Neodiprion lecontei: one gene and its partners. The protein of the gene in region 2 interacts with the protein of the main gene of each other region in a pairwise test. Links are inferred from orthologs where the notes say so. Each region holds a gene or a part of one and is shown on either strand. Other genes may lie near its edges.

Region 1 (10,895 bases), on a different chromosome or scaffold from region 2:
AGGATAATCACGACGGCTCGCATCGTTAGCACGTCGGAAGGCTGCTAACTCTGTACCCGACTAACACACACGGGCGTATCTCGGGATGCGGTTGTGTGCGTGTGTGTGTGCGGTTGGTATAGGCGAGGTAAATAAGAACGATAATAAGGCGACGGGTGTAGTAATGAGACTCGTCTGGCGTAAAACTAAAAGTGAGTATAATCTCATAATTCGTGAAACGTTATTGTGTACCTTCATTGTTGTTACACACTGTATTCGGAATCTGTGGCGGCAGGTATAATTAAACACATTGCACACACATGCCAATGACAATGTATGTTATGCTTTGCATTATTGTAATGTGCAATGATAATAATGTGATCAACGAATATGATATAATTGTATTTTAGATCGCATAATATGAATATCGTACACGTTGTACGTGCAATGTTACGTTTAAATGCGAGCAGACACGGTGGAGGTAATTATTATTACCAACGATGGTTCCCATGTGCAAAATTTTCCCGCATTCACTCGCTCTATGCATTCGTATATGTATATTCATACACACGTTTATTAAATCGCAATATTCATCGAGTCGCACATTAATTATGAGGCAATCATCCGCAACTTCGTTGTTCGTGCGTTTTGATATAAATAATAATAACGCCGTCATCACACACGCGTACACAGGAACGAGATATTTCGTATCACACGTACGTCCGATTCAAATTACACTCGCTGATTCACACGCGCTGTAGCGAGTAGAAACAGGAAAAAAGAAAAAAAATTTTTCAACCGAAATAATAAAAAAATCCGCGCGATCGTTCAACAGGCAAGAAAATTTTTTCACACCGTCAGCGAGCAGCGGCTGCAGGTACACGAGGCCTACCTTATACTTCCGCAGATCCCGATTAACCCTCAGCCGTTGGATCCTCGACGGTGTGATGAATTCCGAACATCGCGATTCCTCCGCGGCAGCCTCTCGTCACTCCCGGATGATGTCGTCGACGAAACAATTACGCACGGGGTAGAACCGGAAGCTCAACATGAGAGTGCACCGCGCATAACTGGACCTCGGCACTAGAATCGGAGGATCCGTGTTTTTTTTTTTTTTTTTATTTATTTATATATTTTTTTTGCTTCCCTCGTCTATCGTCCCCAATCGGCGATTAAATCGGCAGAGAAACGGCGGTCCAGACGGTCGAACGCGGGGACGAACGTTTGTCGACTGAATAAACGCGGCTCTCCGCAACCTCTCGAATGCGACTGTATGCTCGCGGAGAGTCCGCGGGGGCAACGCAGCTTTCGCTCCCACCACCTCGTGCACCTTCTACATAGGTGTATTCCTACCTGCCTGCCTGCCTGCCTGCCTGCGGAGCCGGTGCCCGGTTGTATTAAAATGGTTTTGTGGTGAAATACACGACGATCGTGTGTGTAAGGCTGCAGCCTGACCGTCCTCGTCGAAGGTGGATGTAGGAGCGCGTCTGTGTATCGACGAGTAACGTGTACGAACGCCGTTGACATTGAGGCGGACAGTTGTTACTTTTACCCGGGTCTGCAGGTGTTGGTGTCGCTGCACCGAGAGAGGAGTCTCGGTGATGCCACCGACCGCGACATGTCGAGTAGGTTGCCGTGGTACGAGGTATGCGGTTCCACCTCGATTAGCCCTCCGCTTTGACAACGGGAAACAGACCCGGTCGTTAAACTCCGCCGATTCTAACGCCGTTTGTTCAGCCGTTCTTCCCGATCTTGGGAGAGAACCCTTTCAATTATTCATTACTATACGCGTTACTCCTCACCTCGCCACGAGTCGACGTTTCGCGCCTACTTTGAAGGAGATCGTACCTACATAGAGCTTCGTGATAGTTAAGTCGGTTCTACTGCGGTGCAATATCGGACCCTAATTTGACGGTGAAAATGTACGAAATTTAAAAAGAATACGATTAAGACGTGCGAAATCAAATTGAAATCCCAATAAATAGGAATTGGTTTACTCAAGCGTTTAATCGTATTTTCTTTATATTCGATCAGTTGATAGGGTTTTTCTATTCGCGAGAACGATGAATGAATACATTTGAAAAGCGATCCTTAAGTTGGGTTTCTTCTTAAATCTTCACGACCTGGAGGATCAACGTAGGATTTCTGGGTTCAGTTTCCCTCAATCGGGTCAAATGTAGACTCTAAATTTCTACTCGAGCAACAGCGCGAATTTATCGTCATCGTTGTCGTCTAAGTGTAGGTACACTTTTCTACAGGTAGGCCGATTTTATCCAGGTACACGTACCTGTAATACGTACGGCGATAGTTGTTAGAGAACCCAGTGACGCGCGACTAAGCACAGTTAAGCCGTACTGCCAGGGCTATTACCGCATACCTGCACCATCTGCATGTGTCGATGCTGGACTCCGTTCGCTGCACCGCCCGGCGAAAAATCGAAATCGCAAATTGTCCTAACTGTACGTAACGCTCTGCTCCGATTTTATACTCTCTGTCATTATTTCCTGGCACCAGGAGGAATTGTCTTCAGCCGTTGTTGCGCCTGCGGACCGTTCCGTGGACGGGCTGCCGTAGCTTTTCTCGTACAACGAGACCTCGTTGTTATCCACTACCGTACCTATTCTGTAATGCCCCCGTTACAATTTTACTCCACCGCTCTTCGCGGGGCCCAGAGCCGCGGCGCATAAGGAAACGACTTGAGGATTTATGCTTCTCCGTGGAAACTATCGCGGCATGCAGGCTGTACTGGACCCGGTTAAACAGATCGCTAAATGAACGGTTATAATTGAGACCGTATAGTATTATAATATCTCCGCCTGCAGGCTCTGCGGATATCCTGCAGGCAGCCGCTTTATGGTCTCATTACTAATGTGCGCGTACCTATAAGACCTGACTATTCGCTACGGGGCACTTCCTTCTTGCAACGCGATAATAACGCCGAGGAACTCGGAATACCGGCAATTATCACCGCAAAGACTGGACGCTCGTCATTTTCCTATCCGCCCGAGTATGGACCGGATGAAACCGCGAACTGATGTACACACGGTTTTAAAATAACCCATTCGTAAGAAATCCTGTCGCGTCGAGGATGGAGAAGAAAAATATATATATATATATATCACGGGAGATCGCATAGTTTGAGAATTGAAATCCATTCTATAGACTCGTTTTCAAAGAACGAACCAATCTTCAATTTACATACAAAAGTCTGACGGTCAATAAACCAAAACGAGTTTCGAACAGCCGTGAAAACTTCGACGCATTTTAATTTATCGCGACTATCAAAAAGCGTCAGCGGATGTGGTGAAAATAAAAGCACCGATGGTACTAAACCGCGCGATTACGCACGAGTAGAAATAAGACGTAATTCCATTGCATGAAGCGATATATTGATACACGCGGTATATTGATTATCGGTTGCGTGTCTAATCGTCGTCTCGTGCGGCGCGAAGCGTGGTGTAAAAGTGCTGGTATCGTTCGATGGATAATCGCTCGTTACACGTGCGATACGGGACTAAACGGCGCGAGAACGCTTTTCTTGTTGTTTGAACAAAAGAATTTGTCACCGGTGAATAAGCGTGAACGTTGAATATTGCCATTTCATCATTTTCTAAAAATAAATTCTCGGTGTCGATCGACAAGGTGGTTTCAAACTGAAAACAGTAGAACAACGCGATCGTTATTCGAGATTCGAGGGTCGAGATCAGCGCTGCCAACCCCTCGAGAAAATTCTTTGAATCTAAAAAAATTAGAGTCCGTTCAAGGAAAACCGAAAAGTTGTTTTTTTATCAATAAATGTTGTCGCTTAGACCAAAATCTGAAGATAAACTCAAGACTTCAAACGAAATCTCAAGACTGACAGCGTAATTTCTAACATTGGACTGTGAAATAGAAACAAGAGACTAAAAGTAAACCAATCGTAAAGTTTCTGTCAAAATATAAAAATATACCGATTACCTTGATAGTGTCTGCAATTTGCAAGTGCATTTATTTGACAAGTTGTTGGTACTAAATATTAAAAATAATAACACATTATATAAATAAAAGTTCCTAACATCTTTATACTCACAATTCAGACTGTAGGATGTAAATCTGTCTGTCTTACCTCGTTCGTTAATTATCATTACAGGTATATTTCTAGTGAAACTGTCCGTGTTATAAGGCGAAAAAATTAAATACATTATGTATTCCTGTTTATTATATATTCAGTTTCAATTGCGTTAAAAATCACTTGTGAAAATAAGAACTACGAAGAATTATTGTGGCACCATTAAAGCATCTAAAGCATTATTGTGGTGCCATCTGAAGAGAAATCAAAAGAACCGTCTTAGCGTTATTTAAAAAAATATTCGTCTCAGTATACTGGCAACGCTGTTCGAGATTCGAAGTTCCATGTTCGATATTTGAAGTTTCAATAACGGCCGGCAGATGGCGCCACCGCTCGGTGGATTTCTTGACGGCTCGAGAATGCCGAAGGGGGGATGAAAGTGATTGCTGGGAGCGACTGGCACCGTGTAGGCCATCTTGGAAAGATATGTCGTGTCTATGTAAACGTCAACAGGAGATTGTTTATCCGACAACAGACGGTCCGGCCTTTTGCCCTTACTAAAATCGCGCATCGTTGCGAATCGTCGTCACCGAGGAGGGTCGCGTCACCAGCGTCATTTCTGGAATAATCCGCCCGCTCGTATCTCAACAACACACGCATGATGAATCGGGGTGACGGTCTGGTGCAACGTCGCAGAATTGTAAACAGCGGAAGCGGGGGCAGCGGGGGAAACGGGCAGGATGGCTCCAACGAGCTAACCGGGAACTCGGACAAGTCCTCGGCGCATGGCGCCGACTCCGAGACTTCATCCCAGAAGGACCTGAACTGCAATCCAGCCGTTGACTCTGACTCCGACAAGGAGACGAGGCTCACCCTCATGGAGGAGGTCCTGCTACTAGGACTCAAGGACAAGGAGGTAGGTCTGCGCTGTTCTTCTCCTAGAGCGACCTAGGGCTCAACTTCGAGGTTCCTTCTTTCAGGGATACACGTCCTTCTGGAATGACTGTATCAGCTCCGGCCTGCGCGGCTGCATCCTAGCCGAGCTCGGTCTCAGGGGACGAGTCGAACTTGAAAAGGCTGGTATGCGGAGGCGCGGTTTACTCGCCAGGAAACTCCTCCTCAAGAGCGACTCGCCTACGGGTGACGTCCTCCTCGACGAGGCTCTTAAACATCTCAAGGAAACCGATCCTCCTGAGACTGTTCAGAGCTGGATCGAGTATCTCAGCGGTAAGCCGTTTACGCATCTGTTCTTTCTGATTTTAGCATTCGAAGACAAAAGTCGAGGGATTGATTGTCGCGTTGTTTCAGGCGAGACTTGGAATCCGCTGAAGCTACGATATCAGCTCAAAAATGTGAGGGAACGATTGGCCAAAAATCTTGTCGAGAAGGGTGTTCTCACCACTGAGAAACAGAACTTTCTTCTGTTCGATATGACCACTCACCCGCTCACAGACAATCTCGCCAAAACTCGGCTGGTCAAAAAGGTTCGCTAAACGTAGAGGGAGTTCGGCATAAAATAGTTAACGCACTAAATTGTGGGTAGTGGTGATAGCGCTTATCTAACACATCGGAAACTGATTAGATAGAGAAAAATCATTGTTTGACACTCCAGAAGCTGTTCGCTTACGTCCGGTCATTAAAACAATCAAATATGTCTTAATCTTTAGAGGGCCAGCATTTTTCCCTTGAAATTCGACATTTCGTAGAGACATGATTTATCCATATAAATAGTAATCACGTCCCATGGAGTTTCGGAGTTATTTGCTGACTCCTAAATGAGCCAGGCCGGCTCTCTAAAGATTAAAACAACTCTTTGTCTGGTACAAATTTTGTTTTAGCACCAAAGTTTCCACAAGTACAATCAAGTCGAGTGTCCGTTTTAATTTTCCCTGCCTTGCCCACAGATTCAAGAAGCCGTATTGGGTCGTTGGGTAAACGATGCAGGCCGAATGGACCGCAGAACGCTGGCATTGGTGATTTTGGCACATGCAGCCGATGTCTTGGAAAATGCGTTTGCCCCGCTGTGCGACGATGACTATGAGGTTGCGATGAGGCGAGTACGAACTTTGCTAGACCTCGACTTTGAGGCAGAGGCCGCGAAACCAAACGCGAATCCCGTCCTTTGGGCTGTATTTGCAGCGTTTACGAAGTAGCGAAATTTCCCCAACTGCCTCAAAGTATAGGGATCAATGAATTAATTTGATATATATGTGTAAATAGAAGGATCGAGTGTACGCGTGTCGTTCAGAGTCGCGCGTCGGTGTACATATGCACACCCAGGGAAATTATACCACCCTTACTTTCGTTAATAAATATTTATAGTCTTAAGGGCGTCCGACATTCATTTTCGTTCCGAATATCTCAATGCTTGATAGCTGAAATGTTCGTATTTTATCGTTCATGTAAACGTATCAAAATGAATGACAGGTTCCGGCCCGTATTTGTCCGTGATATACGTCGCCCCAACTTGGTTTCGACCCCTCAAATTGTCCAGCGAACCATTTTGGTGCGAGAGGTGATGTTTCCAAAAAAAATTCTAGACTTTTTTGAGAGAGAGACATTCGTTTTTATTTCCTGTATTTTTGAGCGTATTTATATTGGTATTCTTTTTTTTCTTCTTGTTTTGGTCACATTCAATAGCTGCAGCTTGAATTCACTTTTGCGCCAAGCGCAAGACCAACACTCATCTAATTCTTGATCATTGTAACAATGCCATTTATTAGGTATATAATTTCTAGGTTTTTTCCTCGTTTGGTTATTTCCTTTTGTTTTAGTAATTTTTAGAACGTGTGTCAATAGAGCTTATTTGAATTATTGGCGGGGTAGGTAAAACAATTTAGGACGGTCGTGTGAGTTATGATAACAGTACCTACATATTTTTTTTAGAAGCGAACGTAAGTATTATTTGATATACGTTGCAACAAATTTGAAGAGTGGTACATTTTATAAAATTCCTCACGGTAAATGATCTTAGTGGCTTATTTAATCTATAAACCGGAAGTTTCTTTGTGTTTTATTCGCGATTACGAAGTATTCATGTCCCGGTGTAAATGAATTGTTTCTATTACATTTCTCATCGATTATTCCAAATAATAAATGTCGCTCTAATTGTGACTTTCAAGCAAGCTTATGCAGCTAATCACCTGCAAAAAGTAAAACGGATGAATGAAATAAACATAAATCAAGTTAATCGATTTTTTGTAAAAAGGCATGCAGAGAGAAGCGGTCATTTGACGAAAAGATAATTGTATACTAGAAATATTATAACGAATCGCGTAACTGATGCAATCACTTAAATTGCTACGTCGATTTATATCTTATCAGCTGGAAGGGAAGAGAGAGGATAAAATTTATTTAAGAAATTTTAACGTTATTTCCCAACATTTGATATCTAAGTTATAATATAATGATTGTACAAACGTTTATAGGACAGAAAGGATATTATGTATTTACGAATAATGGTTACTTATTACTCTTTATTATTATAAAATATTGTATTACTACTAAGTGTAATAAAATAAATATTCCAGGTAGTACAAGATAGTCGTCAGCAATATCACGCGAGGTGTAAATTGGTGAGGCAGAAAAGGCTGTGTTATGTGCACAGGTGCGAAGTTTCGTTGGCAGGTTTCATTGAAATCACTCGCTAAAATTTGTTTACTCCACTCACGATTAGGCGCACCTAATAAACTAAGCCACTTGCTCCTTTTATTTGGAACTGAATTTCTCAGCTGCAAGTACTAGTCTTCATAGCTGCTGTTATAAGTCCGTACTTTCCAGCTCTCATCCACTCAGAATCCGTTTTGCCGAGAGACTGCTTCGTTAGGCTTCAACCCTACACGGTCTTCCGACTTGACTGTCCTCAGACTGACAAAATTCAAATAATCAGGAGCTGACAATTGATGAGCTCATAGAAATGTGTGAGGAAGAGCAAGGCATGGAAGAACCTCATTCTTTAGACCCAGTTCAATTGGAAGATCGTGTAAAGGTTGGAAATTTCACAGAAGGCCTCAGTTCAATTGAAAAAAGGTTACAAATTTTGGACAAACCGTCGCGCGTCGTAATGGTTGAGGTACGAACGGTTAGCAAGAACCGCACAGAATTTGAAAACTCTGAAGTTGATACCGCATTCGGCGAATTTTTTGTTTTCTAACTTTACGACATTTTCCAAATAATCGATAACTATTTTCCTATTTTTGATGTCATCTAAAAATTATTCCTCAAGTGTTGGTAACAGAACCCGTGCCAACAGCAACGTTGTCATTGTTGCGAGTAATGCCAAATTCTGCTTAGGGTATAATTCTCAATTACGTACGTATACTTCGGTACATAGCCAGCCAACTGATATGATTTTTAATTTCGAATAAATATATATTTCATAATGGGTGATTAAATTAAGGTCATTAGAAGTACGTGTAATACGCATTGATTACTATGGATGCGTTAGTACAGAATTCTATTATACTACATAGAATAAATTTCTCTTTTATTCGGACAAAAATGAAAATTCTGAGTTTTTTTGTCTACTTTGAGTGACGGCAGATTATCCTGCTCTGCTGCAGGTCTGATTATTTGCAGCCGCTGTTATGACACCGTATTTTGCTGTTCCAAGCCATTTCGGATCTACTCTTGCGATAGACTCAGCTTGGTTGGGCTTCAACCCCACACAAACGTCCGACTTGAGTGTCCTTAGACTGACGAAATTCGTTGGCAAAAATCCTCGGATTGCTTGAAGAATGCTCGTGGTGTGTTCCCAGTTAATATCTCCGAATAATTTTCTGTAATTCAAGTCGCCCTTGAATATGACCAGACTTGCTTCTGAAAGTTTAGCGTACAAGGCGGGATCCTTTTGGGGCATTTCTGAGAAAACAAACGGGCTGGTCCAGAAAGGCTCATCCTGTAAGTGAAGGCGGAAAAAAATGATGAATCTCGTCAACCGTTTCAAAGTTCGCGCAACTCTCGCAGATTCCTACCAAAATAGAAAATACACCGGTCTCTACGTGACCCTTCAGCAGCTCTCCAAACCGCGATAAATCAGGATTCGAAGAATTCTTCATGTGTTGGATGATCCATTGAAAATCTCGCGTGGTAACGTCACTGACGAACCAGGGAATACGTTTCACGTAAAATCGTATCCTATCTGCAAGATTGCGAGCGATCAAAAAGGCGGAGAGACTGAGATCGGTGAATAATTCGTAGCCTGCATTGTCCAGCACTATATCGACCGTTATCGTGCCGTTGGGCTTCTTCGCTCTGCAATTAACCAAGGCATTCCAGGCCAAATCGGTGCCGTCTACGAGAATGTTTTTATCCAGGCCACTTAGTAGTTCGAGCGGATTTCCGGTTTGACCTACCGCAGCACCATGGCTGAATGACAGATCGACCCTGCGCGATAAAATACGTAAATAATCATGAAACACAATCGATCCGTAAAAACTTTACACCCCGAGTTTACCTGTTGCCCCATAAGCCCAGTTTCAGGTGCTTAATAAATTGTTGTTTCTCATTCGCCGATGATACTTCCGGTATTCTGTCGATTTCTTGCAGAGTATGAGCAGCCACTGCAATGGCGCTTGCTGTTGAATCCTCGAAAGCCCGTCTTTTTTGTTTAGCGAACGGATCGTAAAATTTCAACGTTTCCCTGAATCACAACGAGTTCTTGTTAGCTTCATGAAAATTTTTCTCTCGAAAATTTGCCTATTGCAATTCCTTACGTGAAATGAAACGCCTCAGCGATCCTTCGATACACGTAGCATTCCAAGTAAACGTAGATAGTGCTGTAAAACCTTGGAATAACTCCCTCTATTTTAGTACGTTCTGCTAGATAATTGTTCCACACCCTGACCTCGTTAGACCAGGTATCATTTTCATTAGGTGAAAAACGCAGAGGTTTCAACTCTGCGTTTGTTAGTATCTCATTCTTCAAATTGCGAATGGAGCTCAACGCTTGATCCAAATCTTTCCCAGCGGACTGTGAAATTAAAAAGAAATTAACAACGAGATCAAATATTATCGCCCAGGGTATTGTTTACGAAGTTTCGAACGAAGTTTACCTGACCGTAATTCTGAACAATTTCTTCTCTATCATTGACGAGGGAATCGATGACTCGAGTTACGATCCGAGGTAGTCCATATCTGACTCCATGATAGGCGAGACTTCTGCAGATTTATTAAAAACACGTGATAAACCTTGAACGTATAACACACTTCCGTAGGTGTAACGTAATATATCTATATCACGTCGGTGTAACATTTTACAGTAAAGATGTATGTATCGTATCAACAATTGTTTTACTGTCAGTAAAATCACGGAACTTATGTAATACATTCCATGAAAAGAATTACCCAATTTCAAGAAATACAGAGCACGTCATATACTAGATAATCCGCGAATTTCGTAAAATCACGCGGGTCGTAAAACATCAGTTTTAAAGACTGGGAAAAGAATTTGAGTGAGATTATGTATGAACATATGTATGAACTGATGTTTTACGACGACGATGTTTTATATATATATATATATATATATATATATATATATATATCGAATGTCTGATAGCGACTTATAATCAATGATCCGTAGATGACCCCTATTACACGCATTGCGTAATACGTCGTAATAAAATATACATATATATATATATATTTAGAGCTATTTTGTCGCCCAAAATATTGACCACCTGACGTGTAGTACCACTCATTATTGAAATTCTCTTTAAGCAAATTAAAAAAAAAAAATTCCTTCGCCGGACTTTCTATAATTATTTAAACATTCAAATAATCTAATTAAGTTTTCACGGTGAATGCCCTTTGTATTTTTCCTTTTCTTTTAATCGTCTAAAAATAGTTTATTCGAACACTGAAATTT
Region 2 (10,121 bases):
GATTAATTTACACGAGGAAATAATTTCCCCAGACTCTCCGACATGATGTTTCCCGTTTCACCGCTTTTCTCCCCTGTCTGGCATGACTATCGCCGCACTGGAGAGTTCAAGTCTTATAGTACCCTGTATAAGTAGTCCTAAAACACCTCTCGACCTTATCCTCAAATGGTTCGTATTGTAGGCTACAGGTTGCTCATCACACACACACACATACACACAAACCGTACATACTTCATCGTCTCCCGAGGGACGGCGGAACACTCCCGGGTAAAATGTTGTTGAATAAACACTTCAGGATGTACATGCACATTATTAATTAATAAACGAGTTTGCTGAAATGCTTTGAAGTTTATTGTTTCAATAAAATTATCGAGAGAAGTTTCGCCTGTTTTTTTTTCATCTAAAATTATTTACGTTCAAGGTATATATTATATCTCAGTTCAAGAAATATAATTTATTAAAAGGCCTTTGATCGTATTTATTCACGCTAAACTGAATGGAATATTTTATTACGTATAGATGAGAAAAAAAAGTTAAAGCCGAAAAAACGTACATTTACCAACCACTCCGCAAATGTTATTCGTTAATTTCAAATTATAAGAACAAGAAAAGTTATAATGAAGGGACATGCCTTGATAAACGTTACCAGGAAAAATATATGGTTATTATTTATAATAAGAATAAAGAGTAAAAAGGTATCATAAACGGGAAAAATGTTTCAAAGTTTATCCAGTGTGCGCGCGCGTGTGCGTGTGTAATAATCATATATTTTTCGAAAAACGAATTACAGACGCAGCTGCATTCCAACAAAAAAGCAAATACATATTTTTTATTCAAATTCGTATTCAATAAATTAGTATGCAATATCAATCAAATAAATATTATCTTAGATTTGACCTTTTAACTATCTTTTTCTTTCCTTCTCTATTTTTGTCTCACGCGTTTAATTGTAACGAATTGTATAGGTGAGCATGTATGTATAATAATACATCATATCTAAAAAGAAATTATATGAGAAAAATTTTCGCTCTCATCGTCAGCGATGTTGTCATTTGCAAGGTATTATTTATAGAGGTAAGAAAAGCGTGCGTCGTTCACCGCATACCTCCTTTATACACAACATATGCATGCATATATATACACGCGCACATGCATACATATATACATCACCGTCACTTCTGTCGCATATTATAATGATGTACAACGTAGACAGAGGCTTTACGACTTATGGTATAATAAATTAATTCTGGCGCTCGACACCTGTGCAAATCATAGCAACAGGATTGAAAAAAAGAAATATATACTCGAGCAGCAACTGGATGCGTCGCAATATGGAAGAAAAATAATGAATGAAATAAAAGGTAAACCAATCCACATACATATAACACTGGACCCGATACAAGAAAACACAATATTACGTACAGTTGTTGTCAGTCTTATTAAACATTTATCGTGAGTAAATTACAAAAGCTCCAATATTGACTGAAATTGCGCAGAATAAGGATAATTAATTAGGTATGTACATTATAATTGTTTCGGTGCAGTGTAACTCACGCCGTACGTCTACGTGCACATTTGCCAAGTGCACCGTGGTACTTTTAAAAGGGAAGGAGATGCGTACGGCGGTGTTAAGTATGCGTTCGCGATGCTCTATACCGATACATATGTGTGTGCAAAGCGTGCGTATGTCACGCATAGGTGTAATAGGTAGCTATATACACAACGCATCGTCATGCCTAGCAGCAGAGAAGAGAGAGAGAGAAAGAGAGAATAATGCGTCAGTGGCTTGGAATAGCGAATGATGTCAACACGGTACACATTTACCACGCGTCACCCAAAGAAGAGAAGCATGTGGTCAAACCCGGGGTTGTTGGTTAGGTAAAACGATGCGTCTAGGTGTACATGGTCAAGTACCTAGGCTAATCGTAAGCCTGTTTATAATACACGCGTAGCGTCTATTACTTCTATTACGCGGGATAGAAGACGACAGAGGAACGTAATCGCTAAGTAGCAACGCACGCGTTCCATTGCCAAAAATTAATGACAATGATTACAATTTTGCGGCCTGAAGGATCCCCCCCCCCCCCCCCCAAAGCTCGCTAATCAGATCGTTACACGGTCAATTATTATACGCATCACCTGTCGGGCATTCGATATTCGTTGATTAAATACGTAGTTCAATAACTGATTGTCTTATTATTTTCGTTATTCTACTAACAACTATATTATATCATATCACATTGCAGGTGTGAGCGATTTTTTGCATTGCAATTGTGTAATTAACGATGGATCAAATTCTTGTCATCGATTTTGTTCTTTGACGGGTTCGAAGTTTCTTTTTCGTTATTCGCCAGATGCGAATTATTATCGTTGGGTATGTGTATGCGTGTATGTGCATTAAGCAACGTATATTATAATGTATTTGTAGTGAGTCTACATATACTGAGAACACACGTACATCTGAGGATCGAACGATATTACGATGTAGAGTATTTTCATCTCCGCGAAACTATACGCATACATATATTGTAATATAGGAATACGTAAAAACGTTTGAAAAAAAAAAAATAACTGGCAGTTTTATACACACCGTATTTAATTGGTAAGTTATTTTTTCATTCCTCTTCTTCAGATTACAGCGCATTTTGTGTTCAAGATTCAACAACGGTATGAAAACTATTGTGTTATAGGTATATATAAAAATATATATATATATATATATATATATATATATATATATATATATATATATATATATATATATATATATATATATATATATATTCATATACACATGCATATAAGTGGAACGATTCTGACGCACAATTATTTTTTCTGACATAGTTAATACATAAACTATATATATTCTTTTAGAATGAATAGTTTGTACTGACGTTTTCTCTCCTTTTGTGAAATGTGTGCCCAACGCGATGATGTTTGGTTTGATATAATGAGCGTACTAAAGAAAAAAAAAATGTACATGCAGTATATTTTATACTCAATGAAACGGACGCAGCATGCGGTTCAACGCACGCTGTCCATCGCACTATGCGTGTTATGCGCGTATGTAACTCGTTGCTGATACTACAGCACCGAACCCAAATTCTTAATTTGGGAATACGAGAAATGACACGATGTTCAAATCCAATTCGATTCAGTATTGGCTAAATACACACTGCACTATACGTATCCGAACCTTTATTTTTTGGGAGGGGAGTAAATAAAGGGAAGTAAGAAATAGAAAAACACATCTGATCTCTAATGTGAACTTTTACGAGAGGGAAAATTCTTTCACATCCAATGACGTATGTTAATATAAAAAACGGAAAATTTATAGGATTGCTCCGTTTTCCTACCGCTGACGGAGTCGAGAACGCATAAATCTGACGTAGTTCATCAGCTAATGATATTATATGTATAAGTATATTTAATCAAATTTGACGCGGTTAAGATATGAATTGAATTTTTCTTGCGAAGTTTTAGATATAACGTATTATCGATACTCTATTTTCAGGTTTGACCGCGATCATCTGCATGTGCGATAAATTCCGAATAAAGAAAAAGAGATTTTCGCCACCGCCGTAAGATATCTGTCACTGTCACGCGATATGAACCGGAAGTATCAACCCGTAACAAGATTTTGCTGACCGTTACAGCACAGATTTTGCGTTTGATATAATATACATACCTATATAGAATCGTATAAGTAGCAGGAACGATGGTTACGGTAAATAAATACATCGTAGCGATTTCAGACATTAGCTAGTTGTGGAAAATTTTTTGAAATTATAGCATCTTTACGCAAGTACGGAAAAAGTTATTTCAACTTCGAGCGTTAAAGAATTATTTGCATCTACCGGGGATATAACGACGAAGAGGAATAGTAACTCAAATATGACGAATACAACGTGCCCAGTGTACGCACAGAGAAACAAACAACGAGAGGAAAGAAAGGAAGTGTGTAAAGAGAAACTTTAGTCATTACCCATGGCAATTGCCTTATATTATGCACGTATGTGAGTGCGCGTGTGTGTAACAACCTGGTTGAGAAACTCGTCGAGATATTCGCGCCGAGCCTAATATGAATGCATCTATATTATAAAACCGGATGTGACATATTGATATGTTCGAAACAGCTTTCGCGTAGTCGTAAATGAGACACATACGCTACGCGGAGTTCGCGCATTGCATGCGAATCATTGCACCCCGCAGGTATTACAAATCGTCGGCGGGTTGCACAAACCCACATTTACTATTTTCTACACTAGCAGGCATTACGCTTGATATAAATTAACGTGTCGCATCATCCTCTCTGGCACGTGACGTCACGGCTGATAGTAGTAATTTCCATACGGATTATCTCGGCAGCGACGGATCTAAGTGAGCATGCAACAACGCCGAACTCGGCCGAATGCGTTCAGAAATGATAAAGCAAAAAAACAAGAAAGAGATACATTTGGAAAATAAATGTGCATGAAAATCACGAAAATCATAAAAATCTTGAGACGCCATCTGCTTATAGGCAAAGGCTTTCGACCTGCCTAGATATGCTAGATAAATCGCGGCGTAGGTACACGGCAGACGTGGGTCACACTACGTACGACACATAATGCATGCACCCACGTGAACGACGTGTGGCCTTGCTTTAATAGATTTATCCACCGTCATGTAATTGAGAATAGATTCTCTGACCAAATAAATTCGAACCAACCAGAATCAGGTGCGTGCGCTTGGAGAGGATAGAGAGAATAAAAAAAATAAAATAAAAATTAAACTTCTATGAAGCTAACAAAGAATTTCTTTGACCGTTGTTTGTTACATTGTGCTGTACGTACGTTGACCTGTGCCAAAGATTGATCTGCCAGGAATCCGATAGATCTTTGGTGCGACATGTAAGTGAACATTGATTTAATGCCGCATATTTGTGAATTTACAACGAGAATTTAAGTCACATGTAGCGATGCGGATAATATCTATTCCAATCCATCGATTTCAATAACAGCGGGGCTAATTAGTTCCCATTTGTTATTGATCAGTCTCGTACAGGTAAACTCACGGTAAGATTTACCGACACAGTAGACATAATTGACGAGAACTAATTTAGTCGCAGTTTTCATTCTATATCCTTTCGTGTGATCGTTAAAACTTTTTCCTGTTACATGATCGTAAAAGTTGAACTAAAAATGAAGTTCAGTTTGGGAAGAAAGGGAAACAAGGCCTGTTGGAGGTTTGAAGACCGGATTGAGATATTAAAGTACGTAATAAGGCGATCCACCTGGATGAGAGAAAGGGCGTGCCTAGTCGTAGGCGTTTGTCACGGTCAAGTATGCGACGTACTTCTACCAAGCTACAACTACGTGTGGCTGCGGATAATTGCACAGTAGGTATGACGAAACGACAACGATGGTACACCGTTTATTACGAAGATTTAAAAATCCGAGGACACGAATCGAGGATTGGAGAAAAAAGTGCGAGCGGTTGGCGAGAAAGAGGGAAATAGAAGAAGGACATCTCCGATTTCTCATGACCATATAAGGAGCTAAATTCTTAAAAAATGATCGCTCATAGTACGAGTAAAATATGACAGTTTGACATGCGGGTATTGAACGGCGGTAGCACGTGGTTAATGATAGTCTGACAGTCGATAAACGGTGAAATGCCCGAGCACTGTCAGACAGGGATACGTTAAATGCATGTGAAAAAGTTGGACATTTTTTTCGCCGGCAACCTGGCAAAATGGCAAAATGGCGCCCCTGGCGCCTGAGACACTCCTATTAAATGCGTCACTCGAGCCGTACCCTCCGCGGCTACATTCACGCCTATCGCCTTTACTCTTTAGGTACGATCTCGAACCGGAAGATTTAACCCGTCTACTTGACACGGAAAATCAAAAATGCCGTCATTACTGACTGGCTCGATTATCCTAGTGATAGGCGCACGACGTCAGTATCTGTATGGCTGCTCGTTTATTCGATGTGGAAGCCGCTTTCCAAAATTTCCATCATCTCTAGTTGCTACGGGGTTCACACAGCCCGCAAACGACGTTGCGCACATTTAGCATAAAATTAACACTTCTATCGTATGCACGGAATCTCCGGTTAGCGAGGATTCGGTTTCGATACATTTTTGGTTAAAACTCACCTTTTGAATGCAGAAAGTCGCCTGGAAAATCAAGGCTTCAGCGAATTTCAACGACTCCCGTCTAACACGATCTCACAGAGTGCACTGCCGCTCACCGCCGGAAACCGCCATTTTAGACTACGTTCGATTAGACACTTCCCCTACCATCGATCATAACCTATCTTCATTCGATACGCGCACCGTTTTCAACCCTTGTGCGATAAACATCTTGTGTAATTTTCGAAAATTTTATTGACATACACAATACCTCACCGATGCACTTGCAAATTGAATAAAAATGAATTAATTGTGAAGTTGAATTCAACGTAACCAAAATGGCGTCCACGTTTCCTCCTGACTGTTTACTGCGTGACATTCGAACCGGTGCTACTAGCACATGGTTTGTTTTTTAAATAGTACCTCAAAGTAATCAGACCGTCTGAAAAAACAGAAAGTGAAAGATGCCGAAGTCCAAAAGAGACAAGAAAAGTACGTAAATCACCTCAAACACTATCGCACAAGTGAAATCTGAACCGTTGTCCAGATATTATTTGCACATAACCTATAATTTGATATATACATGCTTGATAGTCGTAACTGATTTTGCATTTGGAATTATAAAAAATTCTCTAATACTAACAAGTTCTTGTAATTATTGAAAAATGATAAATTTTCGTTTTAATTTTCAGTCACACTTACAAAGACCAGCAAGAAGGGACTGGTTCTGAAACAACAGATCGTCGAAGACATCCGTAAATGTGTAACAAAGTATAACAGCATTTTTTTGTTCTCCGTTCAAAACATGAGAAATAACAAACTTAAGGACATCCGGGCTGAATGGAAGGATAGCAGGTTCTTTTTTGGTAAAAACAAAATCATGGCGCTTGGCTTGGGCAAATCTCCCGAGGAAGAAGTCGAAGATGAAATACACAAATTATCTGCCGCTCTCAAAGGCCAATGTGGGCTCCTTTTCACCAACAGACCTAAGGATGAGGTACTTGATTAATGAAAATGGCAATATACAAATATATAAATGAATTAAGCAAATATATCATATAATTATTTCAGTATTTTTAAAGGTTTTTTTATTTGGGACAGGTCTTGGACTGGATGGAACAATATGGTGAAGAGGATTATGCACGCTCAGGTTTTGTTGCAAATGAGACAATAACAATACCTGAGGGACCGATGCCAGAGTTTGCACACAGTATAGAACCACATTTGAGGCAGTTGGGACTTCCCACATCGCTTCAAAAGGGAGTTGTAACATTGCTCAAGGATCACGAAGTTTGCAAAAAGGGCCAGACACTCACTCCAGAACAAGCCAGAATACTGGTACAACATTTGTATTTGTTTAGCAGATGTTTTCAAGTATATAGATAATTCCATTATAAAAAGCTCAAAGGCTTCGGTTATGTACTCTTTTTTTTTTCAATTTGCTCTTCTGGAATTTTAATGCTAGTTCCCTCAATTTTCCATGAATGAAATCCAATACAAAATTTGAGAAAAACTGAAATCCACCCATGCATGTCACAAAAGATTTCTCGTGGAATTACGTGTATACTTTACAAAGTACCAATTTACTGAATTCAGTATGGAGCATTATTTTTGTACCTTCTTACAGAAACTCATTGGCAAGGTATTAGCAACATTCAAGTTAACGCCTCTTGGGGTATTTGTCAAGAGTGAAGGATACATGCCAATTGCTACAGATGATAACGATGATAATGAAGATGACAATGTAGAGATGGAAACAGAAGACACAACAGATACCTGAAATCAGAATTAAAAATGACCTAAAAATGTACATATTGAATAAAAAATTGTTTTTCCATTTTTGCGGTTTATCATTTCTTGAGTTTGTGAATAAAACCTACAATTCTTTTCTCTTATCTCACATTCCAGAATATCAGTGACAGCAATGCGCCGAGGAAACATGCATGTTCCAAAACAATCTAGTCCTTGAAATCCTGCTAAAAAAAAGCATGCAGTTATTAGAAACAAACGATTTTGAAATCTCTCGTCAGCAGTGCAAATATCAAGATAAATTTAATGAAAAATATTATTACCAAATAATACACAATATTTACACATTGTACATACTCATTCAATGAATAATGAGTTGCATATTAGGATTCACTATATTTTGGATCGTCGGTATGACATGGGTGAGTGAAATAATTAAACGAAATTGTACCTTTTATGTGTATAAAACTTTGAAAAAACTTTTTATTACAATTTCTGATACCAATGTGAGAAATCATCGGATCTAATCTTGTTAATCAACAGATAATATATCATTGGCTGAATGGAACTGTTCCAAAATCTAGTTGTGAAAATTCTAAAAGAGTGGCATTCAAAATCACAGCAAATAATCATAAAAAACGAAGTACTACTTCTGTAGAATCATGGGACATTTCTGATAATGAGGACAACGGAAATGCAATCACCAGTCACAATGAGCTAACGACGTATCGGGCTAATTTTATTTAGCAAGTAATCTACAGTTTTTGTAGTGTAGCTGAAAAATGACTAAATCTCAATGGTACTGTTTGTATAGTATCTGAAATGAATTCTGGTATGGTTGAATTGAATATCAGAGTGCTATTTCAAACTTTTCGACGCAATTCGTCTGCAAACGAGTACAAATAAATTTATCAACTACTTTTACAAATTGATAATACTAAAACGGTTAATTATTTTTTTCCCTTTATTATTTGAAACTTGTGTAGATTACAAGATATGATTATTACATTGAATAAACTGTTGCATAGAGAGCTTGATAATATTTAGTTCAAACTTTCATATTTAATTATTTAATCTATTTACTGATAAGGTTTTCTTGATAGTAATAGGTTTTGAGCTCAAACTGCATTCCACTTTGAAAAGGCATAATTATTCTTATCCTCGGAAGATACCTATTGTTTGTTCCCATGCGGAGTGAATAATGTTTATGTAAAATAGTGAGTGAATTGTAGAAGAAATCTTGTCAATTCTTTTTGAATGACGTTAATCAAAATAAATATAAATACGTAATATATCTTATTACGAGCAACTTGCTTTTTCAATTTGGAATGACAATCGTAATAAGTTATATTCCGCTCTCAATGTGTTAGAATTTAAATAAGTTCGACATTCTAATAGCAATATCAGCTCTCTGACAAGAGGTTTTCATTAAGATACATTAATTCATGATAATTATCACTAAAACGTATCATTTATAGGCAACAATTATGTGACGACACTGAATGTAAAGCGAAGTGAGCGAATGAAATATAGCTGTGTACACGTGTTGTTCATGTTCCTCAAATCACAGGAATTCAGATCGTCATATCGACTGGAAATTACCTAAACAAAAGGATCGGTAATAACAAGAAAAACTCGAAATATCGAATTATTTATCAGGTAATATCAAAGAAATAGTCGAACACATATTCTAAAATGAAAACTAAATTTTCTTACTAGATACGATAGTATAATACTTAACTAACAAAATCAATAATACCTGGTTACGAAATAAGTTTATATATTTTACATAATGTGACTTACAGACCTGACTAATTTATAACCTGAATAATTTATAATATATACATGTCTTACTAAACGATAATCAATTATTTCAACCAACATATAGTAATTTTACAAATTCTAACTAGATGTGAATGTCTCAAATCTTTTTTATTCCAGTGCCATACGCTTCCAATTTTCACATCAAATTCTTTTTACAAATAAATACAGAGACAAAAATAAAATTAAGAAATTATCGAAGGGTTTTATAAATATAAAAGTATGATTATCTATGTATAATATAAGTGGAAAATGATCTTTGGTAAAGTAATTACGCATTGCATTGTCAATCAGCGTTGTGTAATTACTTGATGACAAAAATAATACGGAGAGTAATACACACAACAATAAGAAAATATTAAAGATTGAGTTATTTTAATCAATGTCAACTATTATCATACTTTATCACATGAAAAATAAAATGTCACCTCTTC
Region 3 (10,009 bases), on a different chromosome or scaffold from region 2:
GATATTTTCAACACACTTTTTCCCTACTACTGTATTTTTTGTGAAAATTGTTTTTTTGATTTTTTTATATCTCTAGTTCATTTCAATCCAAATTTGAACTTTTTTGAATTCTCACTTGAGCAATACTTTCCTTATAAATTTTAGTGCCATCGAGTGGTCCCATCGATTTTTGATTTAACACGATAAAGGGCGAGCTTCTCGCGTCTTTTAAATATTTAGGTACTGCAATGAAAATTCGTGAATATGTTCGATAAATCAAGACAAAATTTATAGCATAAAATTTCTCTATCGCATATTACAATGCTCGATTTTTCTAGCTCTCTTTCGTTTCTCTCAAGCTTATGAAATACTTGAAACGGTGTAAAGAAACAATTCGAACAACAACAAGTGCGAATGAATAAATAATAAAAAATGACTTACCTAATGTCATTCTGTTCTCTGTTACGCGCTGCTGTAACTCGGTTGAATAAAATCTTGGCAAGACTATCAATTTTGTTAGTCAGCTGGTAGCCTTTTTCTTCTTCACTTTCGTCGTCCTCGATGCTTGCGCTTCGTCCACGCCGATCAAGAACTCCTCTGGCAGAGAGCATAGCCTCAGTGTCCAATTCGATTGCACTTTGGGCCCGTCGAGTTACTTGCCGTCGTTTACGCCGTGACTTTGGCCGTACTTGACAGAAACGATCGTGTCCGGTCATATCCGGTTCACGACGATTTTCACCCTCTTCTCGCCGGTTCATATTTTGATATAAGTTGAACATTTTCACCCGGCGAATTTGGTCCCAAGTCTGTGACATCGGAAAAATATATCTTTGGCGAAGCGTAGTATTAAGTAAAGAATATTGTGTTGCACTCGACAAAAGAACGATACTTGAGTAGCACTTAGCACTTAGCACTTAGCTCTTTTTGCTCAGAAGCAATTATAATCAATAGTATTATATCGTTAAGCCTAAACCGAATCTCAGGCAACAATTAATCGTAAACCAAAAATCGTATAAAGAAAGACCAATGTCTCAAAATTATTACAAGTTATAGAGCAATAGAAATCTTTGAGCTTATGTAATCTGTAATTTACTTCGAATGACTAGACTTTCAGTTTAAAAAGTCATTTACAAAAACATAAATTTTTCGATGTCCCTGATATATTTTTTGCCCTAATTGTTATCTGGGATACCACCTAGGCTGGACCATAAAAATATCCGCAATAACAGAACAACATGCACCGACATGTAATTTCCTCATAAAGATGATAATTAAAAACCGTACCAGGATATGTAAATTGTGACTATGAAGATTTTTTCAAGCGTTGAGCGAAATATTTCGCTGCGTTGAGGTACGAACGTTAAACATACAATCATAAAAAATATGTACTTAATGACAAAATAAACGACAAATGAAGGAATAGATAATTATGTCACTAAGAGAGGTCATAATTACAATTTAAATACCGCGTTCATGCGTGTCAAATCTATTGAGAATAACAAAATCAGCTGATCATCAGCATTACTGATACTGTCCGTTTTTTTTCGCGTACGCAGTCTTGTCAAAGCTATTATTCACAGCTATGAATCTAGACCGTACAATCATGTCAATTTTGTCAAGAGATTTCCGAATGACATCTGATCATCAAAAAGCTATACGTGAAATTCCACAAAACATAATTTAACAGTTGATTTTTTCATGTTCTCCTACTGGCCAACATAAGTTGATATCATTTAACTTTAAACTTTGAAGAGCTAAATTTTTTTTTTAGTTACCCTGCACTCGGGTGATCGAATAAAATATCGAGAACTATCCAGAGAATTTTTATGGCATACCTCGAGACTTCATTTGATATTTGTATACAGTAATGATTCACATGAATATAAAGAAAGGTTACAAGTAAACGTTTTCGGTACATTTTGAGTTTCACTCAAATCGCGCACGGTGTGAAACGATTGTTCAGCTATAAATTTATAAAATTGGTGAATGGAACGCAAGATTTTCTAAACCAGTAGGAAAAGTATTGAGCACAGATGCAGATAGCAAGAATTTGACAGGTATAAAGAAGGTCGAGTTTCCCAATTTCAAATATCCGTGACTGATCTTACTTGGAAAATACCTGCTGCTGGGAAAAAAATTCCTTCACGCTTGTTCAACGTGTATTATTTACATGCAAGGGTGAGATAACATAAAAATATATTCATACGTACTCACAAGAAGAAAAAAAAAAAATTACTACAAAGTTGAAAAAATGATTCAAGCATTACGTATACTTATAATTAGTATAAAATTTGTAACAAAAGCGCACGCCAAAGGAATATTATACTTACTTGTTTACTAAAAATGGTAGAAATGATTGACGAGAGATGAAAAAAATTCTACTTTGCAAAGTAACGATTCTCGGCAAAGGTGCAGGTTCGTGATTTATCTGCACTAGCGTTAACTTTCATCGCTGACGCGACTCGGAGCCCTCGAGGACAAATCTTGGCGGGACAAGATGCTCGGAAGTAATGAGCGGAAGGCCGGGAGGGTGGCGGCGGCGGCGGCGGCGGACTGCAAAGCTTGCAGAGCCTGCAGAGCTTGCAGAGCTTGCAGAGCGAGCGCGAGGGATGCACTGACTGTGACATAGATTCACTCGGCGAGGGGCTCGCTGCCCCGGGGGCAGAGGGCAGAGCTGGGCGAGGCTGGGGGTGGAATGGGGGATGCGGGCGGCGCGTTACCAGCCGGTGGTTGCGGCCCGCAGCGCGGTATCCGGGACCAATCTGAATCAAACCGAAAGCTCAAAGCTGTCCGTTGCGGGAACAAGTAGATGGGTTACGAGTGGTGCAGCATGCAGGCTCGTTAAACGACAATTGCAAAGTGGAACAGTGAGCAGCTGGCGGCACCGGTCTAGCGGCTAGCTGTCTCCTTGTCGGGATTAAGGGACTTTCCGAAGCCGTGTTAGGTCCTTTCTGTACGATCCCGCCTGAAAGTAAGGTAACGCTGGCGGCTTAAATACGCGAGGGGCTGCAGACCTTTGACCTCACGCGGTTTAGAGACAAAGAAAATAGCTGGGTGGGGGTTAAAATATAGGTAGATCGAGAATTGGAAGGGCCGCGATAGCGAATTTTTCAAGAAGCGAAAATGTTATTCGGTGTAATTTAGAGATATGGAAACTCGTGGTATCGAATAGTGAAAAAATAGAAAGGTCAGAATAAAGAATGTTAAATGTAGAGTCGTCAGAATTCGTTTCGATAATATAGAACCGTATACAGATTTTAGATTCTGCCGTTCCACGTTTTAAACTTTCTATATTTTGTCTTTCTGTGCTTCTCGTTTCTATATTTTCAACTTTCTATACTTGAACTTTCTACATTATGATAATTCTACGAATTAGATTTTCGCGTCTTTGCAAATTCGATATTTTGGTCCGTCTGTCGATCAGCTATTCTGGTTTTTTAACTCCACCCAAATCGTTTACATGCACATATGAGTATGATCGGTGTAGAGTTGCGTGTACCGGTGTTGAAATTGTTAATTTTTTCAAGTTTCATTACGCGAATGGGTAATTATTTGGTATTCTTGAATAGGATTGTTAATAAGCTCTGGAATCCCTTTCGACAGCTTTTTCGAAAAGTTTTGCGAAGATTTTTAAACTGTACCAAACTTATTTTGAAATCTACATGAAAACCTTTGGTGAATCGTCGCAGGTGGTGATGATGATAATAGTTTTAAAGGAAATTATGCTGCCACAAGGTGCTGAGCTGAAGAAGTTTTAGCATGCCGTATGCACTGATCGACAAATTTTCCCGTATATGTTTAGGGAGGAATTGAAAAAAAAAAAAAAATTTCCTGAGGCAATTTTCCAGGTTCTACTGCAGTTCAATAGTTTGAATGTCTTGCCGCTTGATTGTCGCGAAATTATACAAGTTTGGTTCAACAGTGTTGAATATATCCTTTTGAGAAATAATTAAAAAAAAAATGCATTTACGTACTTTAAGGAGAACATGTTTTTTGTTCCAAAGCTACTTGAGAAGAAAAATACTTATAATTTCGGATCTGTTCGGAGAGACTTAATATATCAAAGTAGATCGCACAAGAACAGATTTGAAAATAACGATATATAGTTGCAAAATGCCGTCACTGGGTAATTTTTGAGTTTTCAATAGCGTGTATGTACTAACAAAATGGAATATCCGTTCAGTATACGTTCATATTTCATTTTTCGAATTTATAACACTCCTCAGGTTCTCATAGCGATTACGGCTCTACGACCGAAACAATTTTCGATTTTTTGATCACTCTGACAATAAGCGGAGAATCCTACGTAAATTTATGCCACAATTAGCTGCTACAGACTTGTGTTGTTTGAACCTGAATGACGTTCATGATACACATCTCTGGAATCGAAAATGAATTCATTATTCATCTACTTCTGACATTTTGGATTAAAAGGACAATAAGTCATCTTGAAGAAGAAACGACATATTTCAAATTAAAATGTAAGAATTTCAGATAATCGTGTCAGTTTCTTTTTAGTTCACATGAATTACGTAATAAATCCAATCCAGGTTTCAAATTTGGGTATGTAACAGTAATTTGTGCTGCAGTCAAATAATGCACAGACATTTTTTTCGTGCATCAAGCTCACCTGCGGAATTAAACCTAGAATACCTTATTTCACTCCCATTTTGTTACTGTTGCGAGCTTGCACTCCGATTCGAGTACAGAAGTACACATGTACGTCTGTCTACGACTACCGTAGACTCAATGTTATGTACCATTCACGGCATATGTATGCACAATGTACGTCGGTTGAAACGGGAGATTGGAGTCGACGCATTAATAATATAACTGGGTCATCCGCGTGGTCGTAGACTTCTCTCCTAGTCGTACCCGTTCCGTATGACCTCTGCGAGAAATTTGACCATACTTCTTCGTCCCGTAGGTAATCTCACCTGCATGCACGGATGCCTAATCCCACGGCTTCTGCGAGTCACGTTGTTTTCTTTTCGGAGATACGAAAAAGCACAAAGGATTTTGCCAAAAAAGAAACATCAATTGGGGTGACGAGTATTTTTCGGATCTCTAACGGCTGTTAATTTCTTGCGTTTTTCGATCATTTTCTTAGCACCGTGTTTATCGGACTTCAAATGTAATTATTTCTGTGGTGATTAATGAAACGAACAATTGCATGCACTAACATTTCAATATATATCAAGTATTTTTTCATATAATGTACCTATATGCTGTTTGAAATTAAATTAGTACAGTTTTGTCATAAATATACATGAAAATTTCGAAATACGTACCATAAGAGTCTCCTTCTGAATTCTCAGATTCATTTAATTCCTGTAACTATCCAACGGAAATTGGAATTTGCGATGATATTTGATTTGATATTGACTTCTAGCGAGGTAGCTGGGAATTTTTAATAATATCCTCATCGGTATCAAAGTATTACGAAAGAGCAGCATGTTACATATTCAAGAACTTTGGATGCGATAAAATGTGGTAGGCTTTTTTGTTTGTTACTTCAGTAACACAGGTCTGCAACGAAATCCTCCTTTAAAAAAATATGCCGATTATATATCTGCTTTCTATATTTTGCTGTCACGTATATATTTCATATTTTTTTTTTTTAAATTCAGAATTTGTGTTTTGTTTTTGCAATTACACTACTTTAATCTATTTAAATAGTATCTGTACGTACAAAACCAGTTCGAACTGATAGAAAGTGAATTAAAAGAAGTTAGAAAAGAGAAATTAAGAGAAGACGTTCGCTGTGAAACTCCAATCTATGATATAAAAAGAAAGAATACTAAAAAATAACGAGAATTATACTAGAAGATAGATTCTTTGACGATTTTAATGTTTAAACTTTTAAAATCTATAACTTTTGTAAATATTGTTGCTATCATTAGTGTTTGATTATAACGAGTAAGCAAAAATAGCGTTTTACTAAAAAAAAACATTATATGAAAAGTATACGTGGTACATACTTTTTATTACTATATTTCGATGCAAGACCATCGAATCTATTATAATTGCATATAATAATGAGAAAATATTTTTTTGCAGATATAATGAATACGTAGTGTGTTCATCCGTTTCAGCCGCAAACGGATATTTATTTATAGTAAATTATAAAGCTAGTTTTCAAATATTCAGAAAATAATCAACACTGCTTTATACACCAAAAAATGTGCTGTAAAATGTTAAAAATGAGTGGTTAAGTTTTCTTTAAAACACAAATTTTGTTTCTGTCTCGCGATAAACATTTTAAGGCACAAAGTATTCCATACAAGTATTAGAATTTTATCTCAACCACTTTTTTCTCACATGTTAGAATCAGCTGCATGTATTCGTCTAAAAACTTTAAATATGTTCTGTTGTCTGAGATTGAGTTCTGAAAGTGAAATACTTTATATTGGAAACATTCATTGGCCGATAATAATTTTCATCTATGTGAATGTTTTACTCAATATTTAAGATTGTGAATATAATGATGCATGAAATTAATGTTACAAAAAGTTTCAATAGATGTTTAATAAAAAAAAAGTCCATAATACATAAAATTTAGCACACTAATGTATGTAGTATAAAATACAGAAATAATTAGACGGACACGGTTAAAAGTCTTGTTACAAAAATAGTACAGTGCTTCATTATTTCCTAATTTTCATGTCAGTTTATTAAACTCTTTGCAATAGGTTCACCTTAGTTATCGTCTTCACTCTCTATGCTTTGGCATTCGGACTCATTCAAGGCATTGAATTGTTTAGGCCAGCTTTTGATCGGGCGATCGTTATACATCTAGAAATCGAAATTAAATATGAAATCATCTTCACATCACTAAACGTAGTCTAATGTTAGAATAAATACTTCTAATGTTATATAAATATTAAATATGCATAAAGCTTCAATAGACTTTTTACAAATATTAGAAATAAATCGAGTATATTTTTGTGTTTTGGCGTCTTTAAATTTACCTTTGAAACGAATTCTAACAAATGACGTTTCGAAACCTCTTCCTCGGCACGCACACCCCAATGAAACTCATATGCAGGTGGATCCGATGATCCTATCTTGGGCATTTTTAAATACTGTTGTTTCACAAATTCCTGAATAGAAATAATATTTACATTAGATAAAGAAGAAGAATAAAAGTTAGTTGACGGAAAAAATGTTTAAAATACTATAATCTTTAGATGGAGATAATGTATATCATTACCGCTAATAAGATAAAACTTTCTGAGGATATGCATAAACATATTATACACCTTTCAAATGAATCTTTGGTATTGGTATAAGAAGTTGAATAAAATTTTTTTTCATTATTTTTATTACTTATACTTACCACAGTGATTATTTTGTGTACATCACCAAACATCTGAGTCTTAAAACCGTCTGCAGGAATTATTGTCAATTTTCTTAAAAAGTCCCATAACAATTCTAAAACATCAATTACAGTAAACACACAGATCGCGTATGATTATCACACAGACTGATCCACATTTGACTATATTAAATTGCTCAATGAAAGTAACGTTAACAAGCAAGTAAAAACAAACCTTCCTTGCATATGCCATCCAACATAAAAATATGAGCAAGAACCAAAATCAGCAAAATTCGACAGGGTTTTTCGCTCTCCGGACACGAAAGATGTGGAGGATTCATTGTAATAGCATTTGTCAAAATGTATTTGCCAGTTTCAAATTCTACCAGATTAAAACCAAACACCTAGAAAAATGAGAACAAGAATAAAAAAATGTTCACCAAAACATATCTAAATTCTGTATTGAATTACTTGTTGAATTTTTCTTTCCATTCTTACTTGAGTCAAAGTGGCTTTAACTATGGTCATAATCTTGCGATAATGTTTATTATATGTTCCAAAAACATTTTTAACCAATTGTGGTCTTTGTATGACATGCTTAGTTCTGTCAACTGCTAATAAATATCTTATCACGCTTCCGACTAGCTGATTTTCTTCTTCAGCAGTCAGATCTTTGCTTTGAGTTGCTTGAGACTGTGTCATGTATTCATCGTCATCATTTTGCTGGGTTCTCTGGCTGGTTGGTGAAGTGTTTTTGGTATTTGTTTTACTGGCTTGCGAGGCGTTTCTAGTAGATCGTTTAACTGATGAGGTATTTCTAGTAGAACTCTGAGTGCTTTGTGCGGTACTGCGTGTATTATGGTTTCTTTGAGACATGGCTAAAAGGTATTGATATTTTTATTCGACATTAGATAAACTAGGAACTAACCCAAATTCTGCTTAATATAATAATAATTACTGCCAGCACCCGCCGATAGGGTATGTCTCCAGGAGGCACAAATGCCTGTGCGGAGCAAAAGGGGAAACGAATCAGCAACCATTATATTAACATTGCATATTTTTTAATAACATTTTGAGAATAGCTGCGTTGTTTGAAAATAGTTGTATAGTATGCGTTAATACACTTTGTGTGAAATACTGAGTTTATGTATAGAATAAGAGTTTATGAAAGGTATGGTGAAAATTTGACGACTTCAATCACAGACGAAGGCAGGCATAATTACATTTTAATACTGATAACTTTTAATCACAAATATCAAACTTATGTTAATTATAAATTGTTTGCTCCATTTCCTCAAATTTTTTAGCTAATGTTGACGTTGCAAACTTTAATACAATGATTTGTAAATCAGACCACAGTTATGGCATTACTCTACATAAATTCCACATTGACAAACAAAATTGTAAAGTTATTTACTGTCTCACTATTTTGTGCAATAAATTAAATCCAGCCCTATGGCATTGCAGCAAATCACCGTCCCGAATGTAAGGTTATAAATTGTTTGGACTATGAACATCAACACTGAATTACTCGGGAACAGTGGGCGAGCATTATTTTCAAAAAGAAAAATTCTTTACGTACCCTCATAAACGTGAAATACTTAATGGATATAAAAGTCGTGAGCACTTAATAACGATCAATTCCAAACGTAGACGAATGATTTATTCCTTAAGTTTTGTTGTCTATGTCAGGTTTGTCGTAATGATGTTGGGAAACAATAACACTGATGCTTCTGCAGCGCTACCTTATGTTGACGCCAAAAGCATGTACTTACTTAGTTTTTGAAGAAACAGATTTAGGTATTTACCACGGTATTTACACGTCGAATCTTTGATTTACGTAATACCGTCGGTAGCATAGGGAACACTGCTGGGATGTCGATAACAAATAATACAGTGGCTACCCTAGTTTCCTTCCCTATCGACAAACTATAAATTCTTTGGTGACATTGTGATATTCATTGAGTACCGTCCGTCTGGTAAGGCACACCTCTACCAACCATGACTCGGCCGGCGCGGCATTAGAATATGAAACGCAACAAAACCAGATTATAAGTTAAGAATGTAAAAAAGTAGGAGAGATGCCGTGCTCACCATACGAGCAAATTTATGACTAGCTTGTAAGAAATTCAGTCATTTTCTACTGTATGGATAGGACGTCAGCCTAAGGAAGTAAGACCGATCTTAAAATGTGTATGAATTTGGTTACATAACCTCTTCGGTAACCGCTAACTCATTTCGACGGTCGTGCGATCAGTAAAATTAGTCAATCAGCCTATGCGTTACTTTTCAATCTGCCGTGCGGTATCGACGTCGTCGTTAGCGTAAATCAAAGAACAATCTCATGATGTCTGGACTAATCAGAAATCTTTCACTTCAAGCTAAGCACTTGGTAAGAAGGACCATGGCTCAACTATTTATTGTACTACTATTAACACTTGTTTCAAATTTTTTTAATTTTCAAACGTTATTGTTGCTTCAAGCATCTAGAGAGTCCCATCTTATTTTGGAGCCTCAATTTCTTACCGCTAACTAATTTCTGGTAATTGTTGGTCATACTTCAGAGAAATGTTATTTGGATTTGTGCAAATTTGGGAATTTGCACAATATTAACATCCTTCAGTCGCTGTTAAATTGGAAACAATTACCTAGATTTATACTGTTGTATAGTTTAATGATTTTATTCTAAGTCATCAGTGATTAAAAGGTGTC

The links.
Region 1: the proteins of 14-3-3 protein zeta (region 2) and Golgi phosphoprotein 3 homolog sauron interact in binary tests that used the Drosophila melanogaster proteins (3 or more experiments, as listed by UniProt). The link is inferred for Neodiprion lecontei from reciprocal best matches to the Drosophila melanogaster genes 14-3-3zeta and sau.
Region 3: the proteins of 14-3-3 protein zeta (region 2) and slowpoke-binding protein interact in binary tests that used the Drosophila melanogaster proteins (3 or more experiments, as listed by UniProt). The link is inferred for Neodiprion lecontei from reciprocal best matches to the Drosophila melanogaster genes 14-3-3zeta and Slob.

The regions. Positions count from the first base shown.
Region 1 is NC_060266.1:25,424,234-25,435,128, reverse strand, and holds Golgi phosphoprotein 3 homolog sauron, read left to right. Parts: upstream 1-4,454; 5' UTR 4,455-4,685; coding exon 4,686-4,943; intron 4,944-5,007; coding exon 5,008-5,254; intron 5,255-5,335; coding exon 5,336-5,511; intron 5,512-5,931; coding exon 5,932-6,180; 3' UTR 6,181-8,040; downstream 8,041-10,895. Other genes in the region: damage-control phosphatase ARMT1-like, read right to left, coding at 8,571-8,924, 9,001-9,412, 9,483-9,668, 9,742-9,998, 10,081-10,186. UniProt on the Drosophila melanogaster protein: Phosphatidylinositol-4-phosphate-binding protein that links Golgi membranes to the cytoskeleton and may participate in the tensile force required for vesicle budding from the Golgi.
Region 2 is NC_060261.1:34,231,724-34,241,844, forward strand, and holds the start of 14-3-3 protein zeta, read right to left. Parts: upstream 6,282-10,121; 5' UTR 6,142-6,281; intron 1-6,141. Other genes in the region: mRNA turnover protein 4 homolog, read left to right, coding at 6,582-6,609, 6,810-7,114, 7,219-7,455, 7,745-7,897. UniProt on the Drosophila melanogaster protein: Required in Raf-dependent cell proliferation and photoreceptor differentiation during eye development. Acts upstream of Raf and downstream of Ras, and is essential for viability.
Region 3 is NC_060260.1:23,029,320-23,039,328, reverse strand, and holds the start of slowpoke-binding protein, read right to left. Parts: upstream 5,524-10,009; 5' UTR 5,304-5,523; coding exon 5,271-5,303; intron 4,967-5,270; exon of another isoform or gene 4,743-4,966; coding exon of another isoform or gene 4,740-4,742; intron 4,722-4,739; exon of another isoform or gene 4,633-4,721; intron 3,660-4,632; exon of another isoform or gene 2,310-3,659; intron 786-2,309; coding exon 421-785; intron 1-420. Other genes in the region: non-structural maintenance of chromosomes element 3 homolog, read right to left, coding at 6,679-6,774, 6,951-7,082, 7,319-7,413, 7,533-7,701, 7,796-8,173; peroxiredoxin, read left to right, coding at 9,642-9,689. UniProt on the Drosophila melanogaster protein: Regulator of calcium-activated channel Slo. Increases or decreases the voltage sensitivity of Slo, depending on the absence or presence of 14-3-3-zeta in the complex, respectively.